Linked DNA regions of Lonchura striata. The protein of the gene in region 3 binds, or shares a complex with, the protein of the main gene of each other region. Links are inferred from orthologs where the notes say so. Each region holds a gene or a part of one and is shown on either strand. Other genes may lie near its edges.

The links. Proteins that work in one complex are often made in the same cells at the same time.
Region 1: the proteins of NCAPH2 (region 3) and NCAPG2 are in contact, whole or in part, in a cryo-EM structure (PDB 9F5W), measured with the Homo sapiens proteins. The link is inferred for Lonchura striata from reciprocal best matches to the Homo sapiens genes NCAPH2 and NCAPG2. Residues at the interface, in NP_689512.2 of Homo sapiens: Pro316, Trp317, Gln318, Ser319, Leu320, Pro322, Phe323, Asp324, Ser325, Leu326, Glu327, Ser328, Lys329, Pro330, Phe331, Lys332, Lys333, Gly334, Arg335, Pro336, Tyr337, Ser338, Val339, Glu344, Gln360, Asp361, Phe362, Gln364, Trp365, Tyr366; in NP_001268861.1 of Homo sapiens: Lys248, Leu251, Gln252, His292, Ile294, His295, Leu296, Pro297, Arg299, Ser300, Val302, Lys340, Ala341, Arg342, Asn343, Ser344, Glu345, Val346, Pro388, Tyr389, Pro390, Arg393, Gly425, Glu426, Ala428, Phe429, Asp430, Thr431, Ser432, Arg437.
Region 2: the proteins of NCAPH2 (region 3) and SMC2 are in contact, whole or in part, in a cryo-EM structure (PDB 9F5W), measured with the Homo sapiens proteins. The link is inferred for Lonchura striata from reciprocal best matches to the Homo sapiens genes NCAPH2 and SMC2. Residues at the interface, in NP_689512.2 of Homo sapiens: Glu46, Phe53, Ile54, Glu55, Leu58, Leu59, Gly62, Ser63, Ala64, Cys65, Val66, Lys69, Tyr73; in NP_001036015.1 of Homo sapiens: Leu93, Thr125, Gln128, Asp129, Cys132, Gly135, Leu136, Asn137, Met173, Tyr174, Lys177, Lys178.

The regions. Positions count from the first base shown.
Region 1 is NC_134603.1:147,495,885-147,503,081, forward strand, and holds the start of NCAPG2 (condensin-2 complex subunit G2), read left to right. Parts: upstream 1-4,110; 5' UTR 4,111-4,164; intron 4,165-4,832; 5' UTR 4,833-4,852; coding exon 4,853-4,927; intron 4,928-7,197. UniProt on the Homo sapiens protein: Regulatory subunit of the condensin-2 complex, a complex which establishes mitotic chromosome architecture and is involved in physical rigidity of the chromatid axis.
Region 2 is NC_134642.1:61,416,406-61,423,970, forward strand, and holds the start of SMC2 (structural maintenance of chromosomes protein 2), read left to right. Parts: upstream 1-4,478; 5' UTR 4,479-4,581; intron 4,582-5,065; 5' UTR 5,066-5,140; coding exon 5,141-5,308; intron 5,309-6,200; coding exon 6,201-6,350; intron 6,351-6,925; coding exon 6,926-7,048; intron 7,049-7,565. UniProt on the Homo sapiens protein: Central component of the condensin complex, a complex required for conversion of interphase chromatin into mitotic-like condense chromosomes.
Region 3 is NC_134607.1:72,683,268-72,690,887, reverse strand, and holds the start of NCAPH2 (condensin-2 complex subunit H2), read left to right. Parts: upstream 1-4,582; 5' UTR 4,583-4,637; intron 4,638-6,685; 5' UTR 6,686-6,777; coding exon 6,778-6,885; intron 6,886-7,620. Other genes in the region: LMF2 (lipase maturation factor 2), read right to left, coding at 295-491, 1,836-1,864, 3,163-3,416, 4,407-4,509. UniProt on the Homo sapiens protein: Regulatory subunit of the condensin-2 complex, a complex that seems to provide chromosomes with an additional level of organization and rigidity and in establishing mitotic chromosome architecture.

The sequences.
Region 1 (7,197 bases), on a different chromosome or scaffold from region 3:
CATGCTCTTACAAAAATTCCCTCTCCTCTCTTGTAAACCCTTTAGGCACTGAAAGGTGCTCTAAAGTTTCTCCAGAGGCTTCAGGCCTCCGGGCTGAACACCCCCAGCTCTCTCAGCCCGTCTCCATCCTCCAGCCCCCTTCAAGATGTAATGACTAAGTATTTTGTCACAAAGCATCACAACAAAGCAACGAGATGCAAGTTGCAGTGTTTTCCTGGTTTAAACTGACTGGGTGTGGCTCCTGGCAGAGCCCGGCAGTAGCGGGGAGCTCCCGCGGGGCGGCAGCTCAGGACTGCGGCTCCGTCGGCAGCGGCTCCAGGGAGTGGCTCTCCCCAGCAGCTTTTGCTTTCCCTCTGCGCATTTTGTTTCCTTATTTTTATGTGAGTTAACAAGGATACGTTTTTTTTTCTTCTGCAGTGATTTTTTTCCCTACTTAATCTCTTAAACTCTAAAATTGATTCATGTTAATATTAATAATTTAAGGGAAATAAGCCTTTTCACGGTCTAATCACACCAGCATTGAGAAGTGACAGTTGCCTCTGAATAAAGGATGGCATGATTGGCAGGATTACCTTCAGGCAAGGAGAGATCTGGAGAGAAGTGGAATAGTGTGAAACTTCATCTCTCTCCCATGCTGTTCAGATTATTTATCAAAGTATGTGAAGATCAAAAAAAAAAAAAAAAATCAAGGGAAACGCATGCATGTAAATTATTAACAGCCTGCCTCAGAGGATGAGCAGATTTTGTTCATACTGTTTTAACTATAACAAGTTTTATTACATATTCAAAGAAAAAGAAGTTACAACTCCAACATGGTAGTAGATAACGTGTGAAATAATCTCATAAGAAAATATTATCTACAAAATAACATTGTAAATATAAGAAAATATTGTCAAGAAAGTAGCTGACGTACAGGGAACTACCTGTTTATTTTTTATTTATATTGTTGACTCTTATGGGTTGAAATGGAATGCTTGCTCTAGTCCAAACAATATTCTGGTGTGAGCCATCTGTAACCGAGATCTGTAATGCAGACCACCAACAAGAATAAAGACTGGTTCATGAAGCAGTAGCACAAAAGCAAATCTTTATTTGCTGTTGCTCAGCAACCATGTGCGAAAGGCCCATTTTTCATTTTTGCCTTAACTTGACAGGAAAATGATAATAAATATGAGATTATTATCACAGTGTATAGATTATTTTGAACAGATGAACAGATATGTCAAAGAGAGGTATGTAATTTGGTAATCTTGAAAGGGAGAATATTAGAGAAACTGAAAATAGAGTTGTAGGTTTATTACTGGCTTGCAGTTCATGCACAGTTCTTGAAAAAAACCTAGAAAACATTATTCTGTCTCTCTGGTTTCTCTATATGGTCCATTAAAATGAATCACTTGGTGTTATTCAGCCTGTTGTTATCTGTGTCAACTTCTAGTTTCAATACTGTGAAACAAACCATTCTGTGGTTGCTATGCAACAGAAGTTAAAAACTAAAATATGTTTTATTTTGTTTGCTAAAATGATACGTGCCCAACTAAATAAACAGTAACCAGGTGACTAAAGTGGCATCTAATTAAAAGACAAATCAAGGTATTAATGAAATATTCAGCCTACATGAGTCATGATAATAAATCCATCAGTTTGTATCTAAAATGGCAAAGATTTTTAATATATGCAGAAAATTTTTAATATAAGCATACATTAGCATAATGTATAAATTTTAGGGGTTATACTTTTTAATTTGTTTTTATAATTCTACAGGTATGCTGATTGCCCATCCAACTTATTCCAAGCAAACTGTTTCACAGGCTCCTTGCACTTAGCTGAATATGTAACTTGGGATATAAAGTCAGGTCCACAGGATGTGAAAAAGCCAGCTTCTTTTATCAAATAAATGTGCTAGAAAATGCAAAAAATCTTATTTTTTAATGTAAACTAAAACTGTGAAAGGCAGGATCATTAAGGAAGAATCTATGTTAAAAATTAAAACAGCAGAATATGTAAATGCTACTTTTAAAGGAGTGAATTTTTATCTTTAATATGAAATAAATTCTGAGTTACATAATATATTTTAAAATTACAGTCCTGAAAAGTCCAACCAGATATGATAACTTCTATGGAAATTATAGTTGGGTTTCTGTTTGTTTGCACAGTAGAGCAGCACATTCTGTACTGCTTCTACAGACTGGAAGTAAATTGCTTCAGTTATGTACTGCTCTCTTCTGAACAGCCAACACTACTGAAAATGCCAAGTGGAAAGATACAAACTAAGCCCTTAACAATACACTTTGACTGTTTTGGTTTGCAGAAGATCTCAAATAAATGGAATGGGGAATATTATAGAATTCAAAATCTAACTCTATTTCCAAACACTGCAAAGAAGAAACAGAAGATATAATTTCCTGATACATTAAAAAAATCCTTAGTTATCAAACTCTAAATATTATCTGGTTTACATAATCTGGCATATATTCTGTACATTCTCGCATATAGGCTGTTTAACTCTTGATTGCTTTTGGATGAAGAGTGCAAAGTACTCATATTGTTCACCAGGACTGTGAGGAAAAGCATAGCTGTCAGCAATAGCAACAATAACATTATTGGAGAAAAAAGCCACCAGTGTAATCATATGCATGATGTTCTATAAAAGCATTTATGTCCACGTTACCAGAGATCCATGGAGGAAGGAATTCTGTTTCCTAAGCATGAAAATGAATTTAACTGATCATGTCTTACCCCCATTTGGAAGCACTGACGCTTTGCAGGCAGGTACAGAAAGGCAACAGTGAGCGGGGCGGTGGGTTTGAACGATGGCAGCTGCCTCTGGGTAAGTGATGGATGTCACCGTGCCTCCAGCCAGCCTGGGTCAGAAAGCAGCAGAGGAAGGAGCTTTCAGCGTGGCCAAAGCTGCTGGGATATGAAAAAATTTTATGATTGGCTTTTCGCAAATGTTACAATAAATATGTGTAATGTTAGAAAGTTATGCTGTATTCATTTTCTTATGTAGTGTGTTAAATGTAGTTTTAAGTTACAGCATAATCTTAAAATAGAAACTCTGCGATATAAGATTTGTTACAAGCTCAAGCAGGGAGATAATCAAGAAACTCTTCACATAGAGATGTCAGCGAGCAGGGCCCATAAAAAGTCAGAAACTTCCACCTTCTCTCCATCTTTGTAGAACCAACAAAATTAAGGAGAAGTTGACAAAACCCAAAGTTCTTAATTTGCAAAAAATTTATGCATCATGTATGAGATATATGAATATGCAACAGGCTATTGCTTTTAAGGTTATTCCTTTGTTCACAAGGTATGCTTTTCGTGACTTAGTGTCCAAGAGCATCCTAAGGTCTGTAATTCTTTGCTTTTTATTGTCTTATAATTATCCTAACTCTAAACTTTATTACTCTAATTATATTATTATTTTATAACCATTTTATTATTATTAAAATGTTAAAAGCTGCACCAAAGGAGGTTCAGGTCGAACATTAGGAGGAATTTCTTTACAGAAAGGCCGATTGGAATGGGCTGCGCAGGGAGGTGCTGGAGGCGCCCTCCCTGAAGGTGTCTAGGAAAGACTGGAGGTGGCACTCAGTGCCATGGTCTAGTTGACCTGGTGATGTTGGGTCATCGGCTGGACTCGGTGACCTCAGGAGCCTTTTCCAGCCCAGCTCACCGTGTGCGTCCCCGAGTTTGGAACCGTGCGTCCCCGAGTTTGGAACCCTGCGCCCCCTCACGGCCTCCTTTCCCCCAGCCGCCCTCAGCGCGGGAAGGGGCGGGGGCTGCGGCCGAGTTCTCGCGAGACGGGACGGGAGTTCCGCGGCGCGCGCTCAACGCCGGCCGCGGGAGGATTCGAAAAGTGGCGGGTGAGGGAAGGGCCGGGCGGGGCCCGGAGCGCCCCCGGAGCCTCGGGGTGTCCAGCAGGGTCCCGGAGCGTCCCCGGAGCCTCGGGGTGTCCAGCAGGGTCCCGGAGCGTCCCGGAGCCTCGGGGCGTCCAGCAGGGTCCCGGAGCGTCCCCGGAGCCTCGGGGTGTCCCCGGGTGTCCCCTCCGAGCGGCTCCCGGGGCCGGTGTCTCCTCCGGCGCTGCTGCCGTGCGCCGCGGGCTCTTCGCTCGGCTGAGGCGTCCCGCGGATCCGTGAGGGTTCGGCCGCTCCGAGGGAGCCCCAGGTAAGCGGCACGTCCGGCTCTCCGCTGCCTGCTCGGCCCGGCCTGGCCGAGCCCCCGGGTGCCCCGGGACGGGGCCCGGGAGCGGCCCCCGCCCCGGTCTGTGATGTGACTTGATGCTGTGTAAGTCACTTTCCCACCTGGGAAAGCACGTCGGGAGACACCTAGCATGGAGGCAATGTTAACGTGCGCAAATAAGGCTCTTGGTGGCCTTGTCCATTTCCCATGGTTTTCTCTTGATAGACGAAATTACTTCTCTTTTTCTTTACTACCCCTTAGTGCTTCTTATATAAATAAATACTGTTGTTGGGACTGATAACCAGTTTAAATAGCGGTTTTGTGCTTAAGAATGCATTGTGCTTTTTAAAAATCAGAGTATTCATTAGCAATTTATTCTGCTTTAAGACTTATTTACTAAAAAAAAAAACCACCACGAAAAAGAAAACAAGCCCTGCAGCCTAGTGATGTTGTGAATCTAAATCCTGATTTAGATAACTAAAATATGTTGGAGGGGAAAACTGCTTTAACTATGTAGTGCATGTATAACTACTGTAATATATAACATATATAAATTAATGCTATGTATATAACTGATAGATGACTACAACAGACCAAAATGATCTTGTTTTGGTGTACAGTACCTTCTCTAACATTATGTTTTGGTTATAAAGTAGGGAAGACCAATTCCAGGATGAAACGCGAAGCATTTTTGCAAGTTGTGTCTAAAGAGACAATTGAAGACTTCCTGTGCTACACTCAGAATCGTGTAAGTGAGCCAGTGTATACGTTTATCACTCCTGGAGTCATAAGTCTCTTACAAGTGCAGAAATCATGTGACAAAGGGACAGAAACTAAACTATTTGTCTGATATGTGGGAGTAATTGCTGTAGAAAATAAGTTCAAGTGGCACTTGAGGGAATATAGGCTGAAAAAGTGGTGGAATCTGAAATATGAATGTTTATAAGCCAACTGATTTTTTGAGATTTGGTTGTTCCACATACCATTTTTAAAGAATAAATTATTAGTATTTGTGTAATTAATTCTAAACAAATATTAATTTCGTGTTGCTGAAATATTGCATTGTTAAATTTCAACCCATGAAAGAGTATTGGTATATGATGAATAAGAGTTTATGTACAAACGTAGCAGAATTGTGTTTCACTAGAATTTCTTCATCCATTTAAAAGTTTGGGCTGTCCACTTGTTCTTTGGTCCATGTTTAATTTTACTTGATTGTTCTTTCTATCACTGAATGCTTTAGAATAGGGGTAGATTGCTCTCTTGAAAGGAAGTGTGGAGAGAACAGGGAGGAACAACAAAACAAATCCCCTGAAATCTAGTATTGAAAGCTCATTCTCATATTATATATATATTGCATAATAATAGAAATAATAATTTGCATTGAGGGGTTTTCCACTCACCTTCAATCTGTCTGGTGTTAAGATATAGCTGAACTCTTCTCAACATCTTTTGCTTGCTGCCATAAATGGAATTGTCAAGTTATTTCTTAAGCTTTCTAATGGGTATTTTCCTGGCAGTACCTGTGCCAGGATAAAGTGGATCAGTTGACCTCTGTGTGCACAGAGGCATGAACTGATTTAATGTAGCAACTATTAAACTCACCATCATGTTGTATATAATAAGCTTACAGAGTTTGTCTCCAAAACATCCTTGAATCTTTCCCCAAGAAATTTGCTATTCCTTTCATTTGTGTTCCTGTATGGATGACAACTTTATTACCAGATTGCCTCTGATTAAAGTCTCCTTCCCATTTTTCCTTAAATCTGAACACTTTAACAAAAAACTATTCACTTTAGTATTCACTTACAGTGTTTCTTTTTCAGTTGATTTGGTTGTGTTGATTCTGCCATCTGCAATCAGTAATTTATTTTAATGTGCCATGAGCTATTTGGATTTAAAATGGTTGGGGTTTCTTTCATCCTTTAGTTTTTCACCACCAATTCACAGTTCTCTTGCAGCAGTTTTCAGCTGTTGCCAATATCTCTGGAAATTTTATGTCACCAGCTAAAATGAGTATGCTGATTAAAATTGTCTTCATGTCTTTGGAGCATAAGGGAGCACAAATATTCACATGACTTTTTGACTGTCCAAGGTACTCCAATTATTTTATTAATTTCCTTTTGAAACCTCCAACAATGGAGGATGCGTGACCATGTCTTAATATGAGGATCCTCCTTTTTGGATCTCCCTTGAAAAATTCTTGATTGCTTTTCTGGAGGAGGTTGTGGTTAAATAGATCATCAATAAAGCTTCACTGCTTCCCTTAGTTTGTGTATTATATTTGGTACTTAGTTGGTACTCTAGCCTTAGAATTTACTTTTTAAACTCTCTTCAAAGTTCAGTATTTAGCATCACTTCTTCTTTCAGTGTCTGTTTTCTACCTACGCCCCAACCCCCTTTTTGCTTCCCCCTTGAACTTTTCTTTTCCACACTCTATAAATATTTAGATTCATCTGTGTCTTCTAGATTTCCAGGGCTTTACTAATTTTCTGTCAAGGTTTCTCATGGGCTTTTCATTTTTTCCTTTGTAATATTTTAAAAAGGTCATAATGTGGTGCTCTTCATTGAGATCTTCAGCAGATGCTGTTAGTTTTTTCCACTAAATCCTATTCCAATTCAAGAAAATATATGAATAATTTCTTAGAATAAGAATATAAGAATAATTTCTTAGACAGAAAAATAGGAATCACAGATATGATTGTCATTCACTGTCATCCTTTCTCCTCATAGATTTTGGAATAATTCTGTCTCATATCATCCCAAAGAAAAATCTAAAAGCACTGATCTTATTACGAGTTGATTCTTTCTGTTCAAAACGGTACAATCTTAATATCCTATCTTTTGGGTTTGTTTAAAGCACAGGGCTGCAGAACTCCCTGTGAGGCCTTTGGTTTATTGTATTTGTTTTCAGGTGTAGGATAGGATAAATATGTAACAGGATCTTTCTTCTCATATCCTTCTGAGAACTTTCTGATACTTACTGCTGCTTCTTTCATTCTTTTCAGTTTTTACCTT
Region 2 (7,565 bases), on a different chromosome or scaffold from region 3:
GAGACCATGTCTACTACATGGACAAACTACATTCATTTACTGGTGAACATGGTGATGCTAGGTTGGACTTGATGATCTAAAAGGTATTTTTTCCAATTTTAGCAGTTCTGTGGGGCACAGCAGTTGATGTGGGCTGACAAAAAAAGCTGAAGTTTCTTAAAGGGCCTGCTGTGCTTTCCTAGTCACTGCATGGCACCCTAAATTTCCTTTTAGGCACTTTTATTACTTCTGCCTTACTTAAATGTTGAAACATATGTTGTAGCATCAGTAAATGCAAAATTTTACCAAAACTGTAGAGACACCCCATGTAGCCCAGTTTCACTTCTTAGATTTGCAACAACAGGCCAGTACTGCCCCACAGAGAGAAATGTTTAATCTGCTTGATTTTACAACTGCCAAAGAAAGCTTTGGGTTCTTAAAAGCATAGATTTCTACAAATGTTAAACACCCCCTTGCAGTGTACAGATCTCTTGCAACATCATGACTAAGTGAACTCAGAAGGGAAGTGACAAAATTCGAGCTGATGCTTTCAATTTCTGTAATATAACAAGGGTAGCTTCATCACTGAACAAGTTCCTGCTTGAAACATGCACAACCAACTTCTCCCTCAAGACAGAAACCCGCTGCTCCGGCCTGCTTAGCATATACATACATCTGATCTGGTATCTGTTACCTTTTATCTTATAATATTTAAAAGACAGATAAATTAAAAATTAAAGGGACATGAGGAAAAAAAGAAGATGAAATGAACAGGTTTTATGCCTTTATTAGTGTTCAACTCTTTATTAAAAAGTCAGCTCGGCAGGGGGGGTGTTTGTAGCTTCTTCCGGTAGCTGAAGGGCGAGAAGGCGTACAGAGTCTGTCCCTGGAGTCTCCGTGGCACACTGGTAGCCAGAGGTGAAGAGGTGTCCAGTCTGTATCTGAAGTCCCGATCAGCAGAGCGTCCTCTCTCTTTTTCTCCTGGCACACTGGTAGCCGAAGGGTGGGGGGATGTGCAGAGCCTGCTGCTGAGATCCCGCAGCAGCTATCCCTCTCCTTCCCTCCTGGTAACACCAGGTAGAGTGTCTGATTCCTTGTGCCTGCTTCCCACAGCCCAGTCCAATCTGATCCTCTGCAGGTTATAGTGACAGGTTAAACATAGACTAGGGATGGGGTCCCTTTTCCCCAACCAACACACCCATCCAGCCCCCTCCACTGTGCCCCTCTTTTTCATTTTGGGGTGTTTTTCATCCCCAAAACCCCCTCCCATGATTCCACTGGCTTATTTTGCATCCTAGTCCTAGTTTGGGTGGGGGTGTAGGTGATTCCCAGGGGCGATTAGCTAATTAACATTTCAATGTCAGTACTTAGGTCGAGCCAAGTGTCCCAGCCAGGCTGTTTTGTTCATAACAGAAGAGGTATGTCAACAAGAGTCCAAGGAAACAAATTTTAAGAGTGGAAGTACAGATCAGATTGTACACAGACATGCGAAGCTGTATTACTTTTGAAAGATAAAGATTTCACAATCTCTTCAGGCAACCTGTTCTAATATCTGACCTTGACATGGCTTGGCAGGGGGAAATCTCAGGACTCTCCATGCGCCACTGGAAAATACTGTTTAGCAAACAACATTTATCATCTCTTACCATGCATTCCCCTCAGATGAGGTGGGTTCCATTCTCTTAAAACTGTCTTGCTAAGCAGCTAAAGAAGGCAGCAGAAACAATAGCTTTTGTTTCTGGAAACTGAACAAAGCCATTTCTCTCTTGATTTTCCTTCATCATCTTGGTGACCCTACTCTGGATTTGTTCATGTGTGTCAGTGACTTTCTTCTACTAGGGAACTGAGAACACTGGATGCAGTTGGATCCAAGTTCAGGGTAGTGGGGAAAAGATTCTGCTCTTCCAGGTCATGACTGTCTACATCTTTCATAAAGATATCAAAAATTATGGCTAATAGTGGGCTGCCAACTGGACTTTGTCCTCTGTTGGACATCCTCCAATTTAGGGACAAGTTTAACTCACCAGTTTGTCTCTGAGGTAGGGCTAGATGAACACTCAGATTTACAGAACATAGGAAATATCTCAGTCAGAATTCACAGTCATCATTCATTTGATCAGTATCATTCATTTGATCAGTGTTGATCACTGGCAAGAGGCAGATCTGTCAGGTGTCATATGTCACTGAAAGATAGCTTCTTTATCATGACACTGGGACTCCTAGGATGGCATTTTTCACAGATGCAATCCCACCACTAGACCTTCACTTACAGCAGGAAACACTTTGCTACTCCAGTCCTGTTGAAGGGTGTGGGAAGAGAGGTGGTTTGCCATTGAAGACAGGCAAAAAATTTGTTGAGTACCTCAGTTTTCTCATTCACTGCTACCTGTTTGCCAGCCTTGCATTTCCCACAGTGGTATGTGTGTGTACACTTTCTTTGACTTCTTCTGTCAAAGTAACATACCTGTAGAAACCCTTGTTGTTATTCTTAGCATTCCTTGTCAAGTTCAGCTCCAGATGCCCCCTGGCCTTCCTCAGCCCATCCCTACATAATCAGACTCCCTGTATTCTTCCCAGATATCTGTGTCTGCTTCCACTGCCTCCGCATGTCCCTCTTGCCTTTTTGTTTGACTCACTCATGCTGATTTCTTGCCTTCCTTACCCAATTTCTTGTGACTGGGCATCACTAGCTCTTGTGTTCTATGGAAGGTGTCCTGAAAAATATGTCACCTCTTGTAAAAAAGGCAGTTTTGCACAGGATTCTACTGACTAGCACATTGAACAGCTGGAATTTTGCTTCCCTGAAGTTCGATAAAGTTCTTATAACAATAATAAAACCATTCCTAGATAGCCAGCTGCTAAAAATATATTTTCCTTGCTCAAACCATGTGTTATATTCGCTCCAAGGTGCTAACTGCATGTTAAATATCTACAACCGGATTTATATTCCTTAAAATGAAGCACTCAAATTTAAGCCTTGTGACATCAAAGCTATTACAGATCTACTTAAGAACTTATTTCTTAATACTTAAGAAATTATTTTTCTTTCCCACATCATATGTAAATGGGGACAAACATGGCTGTCTTCCTATGATGAAGCCTCTCACATCAGAATTGGTTCTGCTTTATTACTATTTCCTTATTTCAGGCTGTGGTTAATCTGGATGGAAAAGGAGCAGGCGGAGCAGGTACAGTACTAGGTCCCCAGCTGCCAGCTCCATCAACCACACATTGAGAAGGACTTTGGCCATTTGAAGAACAACCAGGTGCCACCTTCAGTGTAGTCCAAGCAGCCACCTCTAACAGAAACAAACCAGGAACTTTCCTGCAGGCAAGAAACACTCCAGTATGTTTGCCACAGAAGGTAAATTCAAAAATAATTTGGGAGCATTTTCAGTTTGCTAAATAAAGAGTGGGCTGCATAGTTACACAGTATCAATCTGACTCTTGTCCAAATTAAAAATAGTTTTTCCCAATATAGGTTCCAGATGTAAGCAAGTGAACTGCAGATAAGGGACCATCAAGTACTTCTGGCTACAGTAGCTCCAGCAGCAGTGCTGTCACGCTAATGCCTTAAACAGCTGCATCCAATATAATTCGTGCAGCAAGCAAATGCACTATATTTTTCTTCCCTAATGCAATGTAGACCTTCAGTCTGAATTATTTCGAATTACTGAAATAACATCAAACTCAGTAGTCCAGGGCACAAAGTTTTACAGCAGACCTCAACAGTAACGCTGTGCAGCTGCAAAGTCCTGGTCTACCTACACAGCACGACAAAAGCAAGCTCAGAAACGAGTAAATGCATCCAGCCGACTTTGCCTTCCTGCTTTGAGCAGCGCAGCAATGGACAGACAGCTACCTTTCTTCCAATGACACGTACTCACGTTTTGAACAAGCTCTCCTTATTCTGCTCGAATGGAAGCATGTCTGTATAAATTACAATAATAGATTTGAACAGGCATAAATAGCGCTTGGGTTTTTTTTTTTTATTCTTTGGGGAGGAGGGAGTGGGTTAGGGGTGGCATAGTAGGAATGCGTGTAGGAAGTATAGAACAGCACTTCTTTGATTTTGATGTAATTTCAGGGAGGACAAAGCCACTTCCCGCCGCAGCCCGGAGCTAACGCTCAAGCTCCTCAGCCGCGCTGCAGAACTCACCACGAACTTACCAAGCGCCTTCCCGCCCACCCCCATCTCCCTCACGGGCGCCCGGCCGTCCTCCCCGCCATGGGCCGCCACCCGCCACTTTCCGCCCCCGTCAGAGCCGGAGGAGCCCTTTCCTAGCCGCGCCCGCCTTTCTGCGCCCGGTGCGCGCCGTCCCTCCCGGCCAGGCGCCCCCGGCACCGGCCAGGCGCCCCCGGCACCGGCCAGGCGCCCCCGGCACCGGCCAGGCGCCCCCGGCACCGGCCAGGCGCCCCCGCTGCGCCCGCTCCGCCGGGGTGGGGCGGGCCGGCCGCGCTGAGGGCGCGGCGTGGCCGCCATCAGGCGCCGCCCCTAACGGTCGCAGCGGTCGGCGCCAAAATTTGATCGTGGCGGGCGGCGCGGAGCGGGTGCGGAGGAGCGAGTGAGGCGCTGGCATCGAGGGACAGCCCTGCACGGGGGTGAGCGGGCGAGGGGCCGGGAAGGGAAGCAGGCCTCGCACGGCCGATGCGGCGCCAGAGGCGGCAGGGAGGGCTCGCTGGAGCAGGGCCGCGGGCGGCAGCGGTGGGGATGGGGCTCTGCTGGGTCCTCGCTCGGAGCCCGGGCTGCCGCTTCCCGGGATTCGTCCCTCGCGGGCGGTGAGGCTGGACAGGTACGGCAATTCCGCAAGCGGGAGAGGGAGACCGCGCCGTGTCGCTTTGCGACAAACCGTGGCTTTGCCGCGAGTCTATAGCCGAGTGTTCTGATAAACTGTGCGTAAAGTCCCTTAGAAATGCCGAAGTGCAGTTGGGATACTGCCTGGATCTGTGGTTTACTTGGCTTTTTTAGTTTATAAATGTATTATACTTTTGTTGTAAAAGGCATGCGTTCTTTCATTTCCTCGGGTCTAGTTGTTTGTTTGGCAGTATCATTCATTTGATTATTTTTTTTCTTTGATGTGTATAGGATTATACTCCGGATACCTTTCTCAGTGCTCAGAGGAATACTTGGCCTGGAATACCTTTTGGGAGCATTGGGAAGATGTACATTAAGTCAATTGTTCTTGAAGGTTTTAAATCCTATGCTCAGAGGACGGAAATTAGTAACTTTGACCCGCTATTCAATGCCATTACTGGCTTGAATGGTAGTGGCAAATCCAATATCTTGGACTCCATCTGTTTTGTGCTGGGAATCAGCAATCTGTCACAGGTAAAGAGATAGGACATTTAAGAAAAGTCTTTCTTCTGTTAGCAACTTTTAACGTTACTCTAGTGAGTAACCTCCCACGGAAGACCTGACATGGTGTGTCTTTGAAAGAAATATTTTCATTATTTCGATATTTCATTGCATTAATCTGGGTCTCTATCATTGTTGCTCAGCCTTATGTTGAGTTACAACTTCATCCACGTACCACAGTTACACAAGTATGTGGCTTAAAACAATATAGACTAAAAATAACCACTTAAAAGCTAACAGCTTCAAGCTAAAGGTCCTTTTTGCATCTACAGGCACTAATTTACTAATTTGTAATAAATGTTTTCAGTTCTGGATTAAGTCTTAAAATCTGGCTACCTGGTTCATCAGAAAAAGATTTAAAAGTGATTTTCATACAATGCTTATTATTTAAGTGATAATATATCTGCTTTATTTTTACTAAAATATATGTGCTTTGACATCAGTTTCAATCTCTGTCTGAAGATGATTTTTAAATTTGCTTTCTTTCCCATCCCTACCTTCCCCCAGCTGTTGACAAAGCAGGCAGCCCTCTAAGGAACATTTTCTGAATCATTTTCCTGTGAACTGCATTGTGAAAAATAAGTGTTTGTTAAATAAATTTACTGTCAGCTGGCTTTTTTTACAGATGTATTCAGTGTTTTTCAGGAGCCTCATGCAGAAACAGTTATCTGGATAAGTAAAACTAGACTGGCACACACTGTAGTTTCACAATGATAGCACCTTGCAGCTCCCGTGTGCCAGTTCACATGAACTCAAATATGCAGCTAGATCTTTGGTTTTTATATTGATTTCTCCAAGACCTACAGTATTACAATTAAAATGTTAATTTCTTTCAAAAAAGTATTTATCTGTTCCCTGAACTTAGGTGCGAGCTTGCAACTTCCATGATCTAATTTATAAGAGTGGGCAAGCTGGAATTACAAAAGCAACTGTGTCTATTAACTTTGATAATTCAAACAAAAGTCAAAGTCCACTGGGATTTGAAGCTAATGATGAGATCACTGTGACTAGGCAGGTAAGCCTTTAATATCTGTATTTTTTCATAACCTATTTACATTTTTACCATGCTCATGAGTGGGCAGGGAAAAAGGGGGTGATTTTCTGAGTTTCTGCAGTAGAGGCAAGGTTTCTATGTTGCTTTTATAGTGTAGTTAGTTAGAAAAACTGTACCAGTGTACGAGCTAGAAATGTTCATAAAGCAAGTTAAAATTTTCTACCTTGCGGCTTTTACTGCTTTCATATCTTTCTTCTTAATATCTGAACTCTGTGTTAAATTTGGCCTCCAATAGCGAAGGAACCTTTATTTTTCTGGTGAAGATGTTGGGTTTTGGGTTTTGATTACTTTTTGATTATTTTTTTTTAACGTAGAGTTTTTGGAAGGTTTCTTGACAGTATTTTCCTCAATGACTAATCTTATATTTTAGTTAAATATTTTCGATGTCAAACAAGTTCTGTTTTGATGTTCTGCACAGTTTGTACATACATACATATGCAAAAATATAACAAGTGTGATTTGCTCAGATTTTTTTGTTCTTTATTGCAGTTTATATTCTCACAACACCAAGCAGTTTTTTTGTCTTTGTTCTCTAGGTTGCTGTAGGAGGTAGAAGTAAGTATCTTATCAATGGTGTGAATGCTGCCAACAGTCGTGTGCAGGATTTATTCTGTTCCATTGGACTGAATGTCAATAATCCTCATTTCCTCATTATGCAGGTATTGTGTGCATCTTTATAAAATCCAGAAAGAGTAGGACTTGTACTAAATTTAAGATGGGGAGATAGTAGGAAAATAATTAATTCCTAATTAGAGTGTCATTTTACCAAGAAAAAATGAAGTCTGTTAAGTCATTAATATTTCCAGTACAGCATAGTTTGACCCTAAAACACATCTTGTAGCACAAGACCTCATGCGGCCCTCATGTTAGCAAAACTTTTCCGAAATATATTCCCATTTTATTTTTTTTTCTTCTTAACAGCTAGGTATTGCTTTTATAAATATTATAAAATGGTGGGTTTTATTTGCTATTATTTGTGCTCCCATGTTAGACAGCACCTTGAATGAGGTTGAGATATGTACCTTCTTAAGTCAAAATTATCAAAAGAAAGTTGACAAATTGGGAGGACTGTAAGGGACTAGGCAAATCCCTGAAATATTTGCAAGGAATAATAAAACAGAGGATTTATTGATTCAAAGGTAACTGTTCCAAGTGGATGCCAAAGTGAGGAACAGT
Region 3 (7,620 bases):
TGACCAACACCCGAACCCCCAAACCTGACCAACACCTGAGCCCCCCAAACACCTGAACCCCCAAACCCCCTCACCTGTGATCCCCCCCAGACCTGAACCCCCAAACCCCCTCACCTGTGAGCCCAAGACCTGAACTCCCAAACCTGCACACCTCACTAACACCTGAGCCTCCCAAACCTGCACCACTGACCAACACCCAAACTCCCAAAACTGCATCCCTCCCCTGTGAGCCCCCAACACCTGATCCCCCCAGACCTGCACGCCTCACTAACACCTGAACCCCAAACCCCTCACCTGTGAGCCCCCACCAGGTGGGGCAGCGGCTGCTGAGCTTCACCACGCCCGAGGCGAACATGAGGCGGAAGAGGAGCCAGCGCACGGCCCAGAAGGTGACGCCGTCGTGGGGTCTCCAGGCCGGGGACCCCCAGCGCAGCAGGCGCAGGGGGGCCACCAGCACGGCCAGGAACCCGGCCTCCAGCAGCAGGCTGTCCCTGGCCGTGGGGGACAGCGCTGGGACCCCCGGCCTGCACCCCACGCGGGGCTGGGGACACGGCTGTGCCCCACTTGTGGGGCTGGGGACATGGCCACGTCCTGTATGTGGGGCTGGGGACACAGCTGTGTCCCACTTGTGGGGCTGGGGACACAGTCACGCCCTGTATGTGGGGCTGGGGACATGGCCGTGCCCTGTATGTGGGGCTGGGGACACAGCCACGTCCCGCTCGTGGGGATGGGGACACAGTCACGCCCTGTATGTGGGGCTGGGGACATGGCTGTGCCCTGTATGTGGGGCTGGGCACACAGCCACGTCCCACTCGTGGGGATGGGGACACAGTCACGCCCTGTATGTGGGGCTGGGGACATGGCTGTGCCCTGTATGTGGGGCTGGGCACACAGCCACGTCCCACTTGTGGGGATGGGGACACAGCCACGTCCCGCTCATGGGGATGGGGACACATTCATGCCCTGTATGTGGGGCTGGGGACATGGCTGTGCCCTGTATGTGGGGCTGGGCACACAGCCACGTCCCACTTGTGGGGATGGGGACACAGCCATGTGCCGCTCGTGGGGATGGGGACACGGTCACCATCTAAATGCGGGGCTGAGGACACAGCCACACATCACATGTGGGGCTGGGGACACGGCCATGCCCTGTCTGTGGGGCTGGGGACATGGTCATGATCTATATATGGGGCTGGGGACATGGCCATCCCCTTTATGTGGGGCCGGGGACAAGGCCATACAATGAAAGAGGGGCTGGGGACAGGGCCATCCTCTGTATATGGGGCTGGGGACATGGCCATGTCCTGTATGTGGGGCTGGGGACACGGCTACATCCCACTCGTGGGGCTGGGGACATGGCCACACAGCAAAAGTGGGGCTGGGGACACGGCCACACATCACATGTGGGGCTGGGGACACAGTCATGCCATGCTTGTGGGGCTCCCCACCCTGATGTGCCTCAGTCCCCAAAGTCCCCCACAGCCCCCATCCTTGTCCCCACAGCCCCTGTCCTTGTCCCCAGAGCCCCCCACCCCACTGTGCCCCCACCCCAATCCCCAGAGCCCCCCCCACCCCTCACTTTGGTCCCCAGAGGTCCCCACCCCACTGTGGAGCCCCTTGTCCTGGTCCCCAGAGCCCCTCGTGTCCCCCACCCCACTGGGACCCTGTCCCACTCCCCAGACCCCTCTGTGCCCCCCATCCTGGTCCCCAGAGCCCCCCACCCCACTCCAGCACCCTCTGTGCCCCCCACCCCTCTGTGCCCCCCACCCTGGGGTCCCGGGGTGGTTCCCCAGCCCCGAGCCCCCCAAAATCCCTGGGGAGGGGGCTGGACTCACCACTGGAAGTACAGGAAGACCTGTCCCACCTGCGGAGAGGGAGCGGGCGGGGGGCTCAGATGGGGGGGTCTGACACCCCCAGACCCTTCCCCACGGGAGAGACCCCCGGGGCCCCCCTGGCACGGGAATCTGGGCCAAGGAGCAGAGGGAGGTGACAGCCAGCCCTGGGAGGTGACAGCCGCCCCTGGGAGGGATGGCCTCACACAGATCATTTATCCTTCCTTAATTTCCTGATTTCAGAGGGAAGTGAAACCTCCTCCCCCCACACCCGGCTCTGACCCACTGGAGCTCCAGCCCCAGGGAGGGTCCAGGGAATCCTGAGACGGTTTGGATGGGAAGGGACCCAAATCTCCTACAGTGCCACCCCTGCCATGGCAGGGACACCTCCCACTGTCCCAGGCTGCTCCAGCCCCAGTGTCCAGCCTGGCCTTGGACATTCCAGGGATCCAGGGGCAGCCCCAGCTGCTCTGGCAATCCCAGCCCAGCCAGGAATTCCTCATTCCCAATCTCCCATCCATGGCTGCCCTCTGGCAGTGGGAGCCATTCCCTGGGTCCTGTCCCTCCATCCTTGTCCCCAGCCCCTCTGCAGCTCCAGGCCGGGCTGGGTGGCCTCGGGCACGGCAGGAGGTGTCCCTGCCCGCGGGGGCTGGACCGGGCTGGGATTCACAGCCCCTTCCCACCCCAACCATTGCCTGGCTCCATCGCTGTGCCTCCCTCAGCACACCAGGAGCGGGCAGGACGAGCCAGCGCCCCGCTGTCCCTGCTGTCCTCACTGTCCCCTGGCTGTCCCCACTATCCCCTGCTGTCTCCCCTATCCCCTCTGTCCCCTCTGTCCCTGCTGTCCCCACTGTTCCTGCTGTCCCTGGGTGTCCTGGCTGTCCTCGCTGTCCTCACTGTCCCCCCCTATCCCTGCTGTCCCCTCTGTCCCCTGGCTGTCCCCACTGTCTCCTGCTGTCTCTACTGTCCCCCCTGTCCTTGCTGTCCCCTGGCTGTCCCTGCTGTCCCCTGGGCTGTCCCCGCTGTCCCCTGGCTGTCCCCCCTGTCCCCTCTCTCCTCACTGTCCCCTGGGCTGTCCCCCCTGTCCCCTCTCTCCTCACTGTCCCCGCTGTCCCCTGGGCTGTCCCCGCTGTCCCCTGGCTGTCCCCGCTGTCCCCTCTCTCCTCACTGTCCCCGCTGTCCCCACTGTCCCCTCTCTCCTCACTGTCCCCGCTGTCCCCTGGCTGTCCCCTCTCTCCTCACTGTCCCTGCTGTCCCCTGGGCTGTCCCCGCTGTCCCCCCTGTCCCCTCTCTCCTCACTGTCCCCCCTGTCCCCTGGCTGTCCCCCCACCTGGTACAGCGACAGGTAGAAGGCGGCGAGCGTGGCGAAGAGCAGGCAGTCCCGCAGCGCGTCGCAGAGCAGCGCCCCGAGGGCGCCCAGCGTGCCCAGCAGGCACAGCAGCTCCATGGCCTGCTCCGTGTCCAGCCCCAGGCGCGGGCCCAGCCACAGCAGCGTGGGCACGTCCCGCAGCTGCTGCCACAGCCCCCGGCCCGCCGGCCGCAGCACGCGCCGCGCCGGCAGCAGCCCCCGGCGCCCGTACAGCCCTGCCGCGGCGCCACGTTTACCCAGCGCGGGGTAAAAGCAGGGCTACAACTCCCCGCGGCAGCCCCTCGGGGCTGGGGGGTCTCAGGGGGGGCCTTTCCATAATTTATTTCCCAAAAATGGAACCTAATTCGGGGTTAACCCCAGATTTCCCCACTATCCCGGTTCCCCCGGCCGCACTCCCCGCCCCATCCCGGTTCCCCCGTCCCTATCCCCAGCCCTATCCCGGTCCCCCATCCCTGCCCCGGCTCTGTCCCGGTTCCTCCATCCCTATGCCGGCTCTGCTCCGGTTCTCCAATCCCTATCCCAGTTCCCCCACCCCTATCCCGGTTCCCCCGGCCCCTCTCCCATCCTTGTCCCGGTTCCCCCATCCCTATCCCGTTTCTCCCGGGGTTCTCCCGGCCCCACTCCCGGCTCTGCTCCGGTTCCCCCATCCCCATCCCGGTTCCCCCAGCCCCACTCCCGGCTCTGTCCCGGTTCTCCCGGTCCCACTCCCATCCCTATCCCGGTTCCCCCAGCCCCACTCCCGGCTCTGTTCCGGTTCCCCCGGCCCCACTCCCATCCCTATCCCGGTTCCCCCGGATCCACTCCCGGCTCTATCCCGGTTCCCCCGGCCCCACTCCCGTCCCTATCCCGGTTCCCCCGTCCCTGTCCCGGTTCTCCCTGCCCCACTCCCGTCCCTATCCCAGTTCTCCGGCCCCACTCCCGTCCCTATCCCGGTTCTCCCGTCCCTGTCCCGGTTCTCCCTGCCCCACTCCCGTCCCTATCCCAGTTCTCCGGCCCCACTCCCGTCCCTATCCCGGTTCTCCCGTCCCTATCCCGGTTCCCCGGCCCCACTCCCGTCCCTATCCCGGTTCCCCGGCCCCACTCCCGTCCCTATCCCGGTTCCCCCGTCCCTATCCCGGTTCCCCCGGCCGCACTCCCGGCTCTGTCCCTGTTCCCCCGTCCCTGCCCGGTTCCCCCGGCCCCTTGCCCGTTCCCCGCGGCGGTACCGGGGATCTGCACGTAGAGCGAGCCGAAGGCGGCGATGTAGACCGCGGCCAGCCCGGCCAGGAACAGCGCCCGCGGCCGCGCCAGCTCCGCCGCGGCGGCCATGGCGGCGCGGGCCCGGCGGCGCGCACCGTGACGTCAGCGGCGCCGTGACGTCAGCGGCGCGCGGGGCGCGTCACGGAGCGCGGGAAGGACGAAAATGGCGGCGGCGGCCGGGGGATGAGGAGGGGCCGGTGAGGGGCGGGACCGGGGACGGGCACCGGGACCGGGGACGGGCACCGGGACCGGGGACGGGCACCGGGACCGGGGACGGGCACCGGGACCGGGGACGGGCACCGGGACCGGGGACGGGCACCGGGACCGGGGACGGGCACCGGGACCGGGGACGGGCACCGGGACCGGGGACGGGCACCGGGATCGGGGACGGGCACCGGGACCGGGGACGGGCACCGGGATCGGGGACGGGCACCGGGACCGGGGTTGGGATGGGGACGGGGACCGGGGATGGGATGGGCACCGGGACCGGGGTTGGGATGGGCACCGGGACCGGGGATGGGATGGGCACCGGGATCGGGGACGGGCACCGGGAGCGGGGTTGGGATGGGGACGGGGACCGGGGATGGGATGGAGACGGGGATCGGGGATGGGCACCGGGACCGGGGATGGGATGGGCACCGGGAGCGGGGTTGGGATGGGGACGGGGACCGGGGTTGGGATGGGGACGGGGACCGGGGATGGGCACCGGGACCGGGGATGGGATGGGGACGGGGACCGGGGATGGGATGGGCACCGGGACCGGGGATGGGGATGGGATCGGGGACGGGCACCGGGAGCGGGGTTGGGATGGGCACCGGGACCGGGGATGGGATGGAGACGGGGATCGGGGATGGGCACCGGGACCGGGGATGGGATGGGGACGGGGACCGGGGATGGGCACCGGGACCGGGGATGGGATGGAGACGGGGATCGGGGATGGGCACCGGGACCGGGGATGGGCACCGGGACCGGGGATGGGATGGGGACGGGGACCGGGGATGGGCACCAGGACCGGGGATGGGATGGAGACGGGGATCGGAGATGGGGATGGGCACCGGGACCGGGATCTGGATGGGGACCGGGACCGGGATCGGGGTTGGGGTTTGGATGGGGACCGGGATCGGGGTTGGGGTTTGGATGGGGATCGGGATCGGGGTTTGGATGGGGTCCGGAATCAGGGTCATGATTGGAATTGAGGTTTGGGTGGGGATCAGGGTCACAGTCGGGTTTGATCTTTGGATGGGGACTGGGTTTGGGATCGGGATCATGGTCGGGATTGAGGTTTGGATGGGCACTGGGATTGGGATCAGGATCACATTGGGATCAAGGTTTGGATGGGGACCTGGGACCAGGGTCAGGATCCAGTCAGGATTGAGGTTTGGATAGGGATTGGGATCAGGGTGGTGGTTGGGATCAAAGTTTGGATGGGGACCGGTAGTGGGATCAGGATCATGGTTGGGATTGAGGTTTGGATGGGCACTGGGACTGGGATCAGTCAGGATTGAGGTTTGGATAGGGATCGGGATCAGGGTCGTGGTCGGGATTGAGGTTTGGATGGGGGCCTGGATCGGGATCATGGTTGGAATTGAGGTTTGGATGGGGATCAGGATCAGGATCACAGTCAGGATTGAGGTTTTGCTAGGGACTGAGATCAGGGTCACGGTCGGGATTGATGTCAAGAGTGCAATTGGGGTAGGGATCAAGATGGGAATTGGGGTCAGGGTCTGCATGGGGATCGGGATCAGGATTGAGATTGGAATTGAAGTTGGGGCTGGGATTGGGGTTGACGTTGGGATCAGGACTGGGGCAGAGTTAGGGGTGGGAATTGGGGTTGGGGTCTGCATGGGGATTGGGGTTGGGATCAAGATTGGAAATGAAGTTTGGGTTGGGATCGGGGTTGAGGTTGGGATCATGGACCGGGGCAGAGTTAGGGATGGGAATTGGGGTCGGGGTCTGCATGGGGATGGGATTGGGGTAAGGATCAGGGTGGGGACCGGGATCGGGGTTGGGATTGGGCTCCAGATTGGGATTGAGTTTCAGGTCGGGCTCAGGGTAGAGACTGGAGTTAGGCTCAGGATCAGGTCAGGATTGGGATCACGGTCAGGGTGAGAATCAGGGTCAGGGCTGGGATTGGGGTCACAATCAGGATCAAAGTCAGGCCCAGGCTTGGCAGTGGGATTGGGGTGGGGCTTTTCCAGCCCAAACAATTCCCTGTAGCCTGAGCTGTCTCCCCGTTCCCACGCAGCCGAGCCGTGATTCCTGCAGAGCTTCCCCAGGACACTCATTCCAGGGAGCAGCTCCCAGCCGCCTCTGGGCTCTCTGCAGGGGGATCCCACCATGGAAGAGGTGGATTCCCGCTTCCTGCACCTGCTGCAGCCCATCCGGGACCTCACCAAGAACTGGGAGGTGGATGTGGCTGCCCAGCTCGGGGAGTACCTGGAGGAGGTAACGGGGACACCCCCAGAGCTCCTCGTGTCCCCTGCCCTCCTTTGCCCTCTCCTTTTCTCCCTCCTTTTCTTCCTCCTTTTCCCTCTCCTTTTATCCCTCCGTTTCTCCCTCTTTTTATTCCTCCTTTTCCCTCTCCTTTTTACTCCTTTTCTTCCTTTTGTCTCTCTTCCTCTTCTTTTCTCCCTCTTTTTATTCCTCCTTTTCTTCCTTTTATCCCTCTTTTTCCCCCTCATTTTCTTTCCTTTTTCTTCCTCTCTTTCCCCCTCCTTTTATCCCTCCTTTTCCCTCTCCTTTTATACCTCCTTTTCTCCCTCTTTTTATTCCTACTTTTCCCTCCTTTTCTTCCTTTTCTCCCTCTCCCCCTTCTTTTCTCCCTCTTTTTATTCCTCCTTTTCTTCCCTTTATCCCTCTTTTTCTCTCTCATTTTTTTTCCTTTTTCTTCCTTTTCTTCCTCTCTTTCCCCCTCCTTTTATCCCTCCTTTTCTCTCTTTTTTCCTTTTTTTATTTCTTTTATTCCTCTTTCCCCTTCTATTTCTTCCTCTTTTTATCCCTCCTTTTCTTCATTTTTTCCTTCCTTTTCCTCCTCCTTTTCTCTCCTTTTTCCTCCTTTTATCTATCCTTTTCTTCCTCTCTTCCCCCTCCTTTTTCCTCCTCTTCTTCCTTTTCTTCCTCTGATTCCTCCTCCTTTTATCCCTCCTTTTCTTCCTTTTCTCCTTCCCTTTCCCCCTCCTT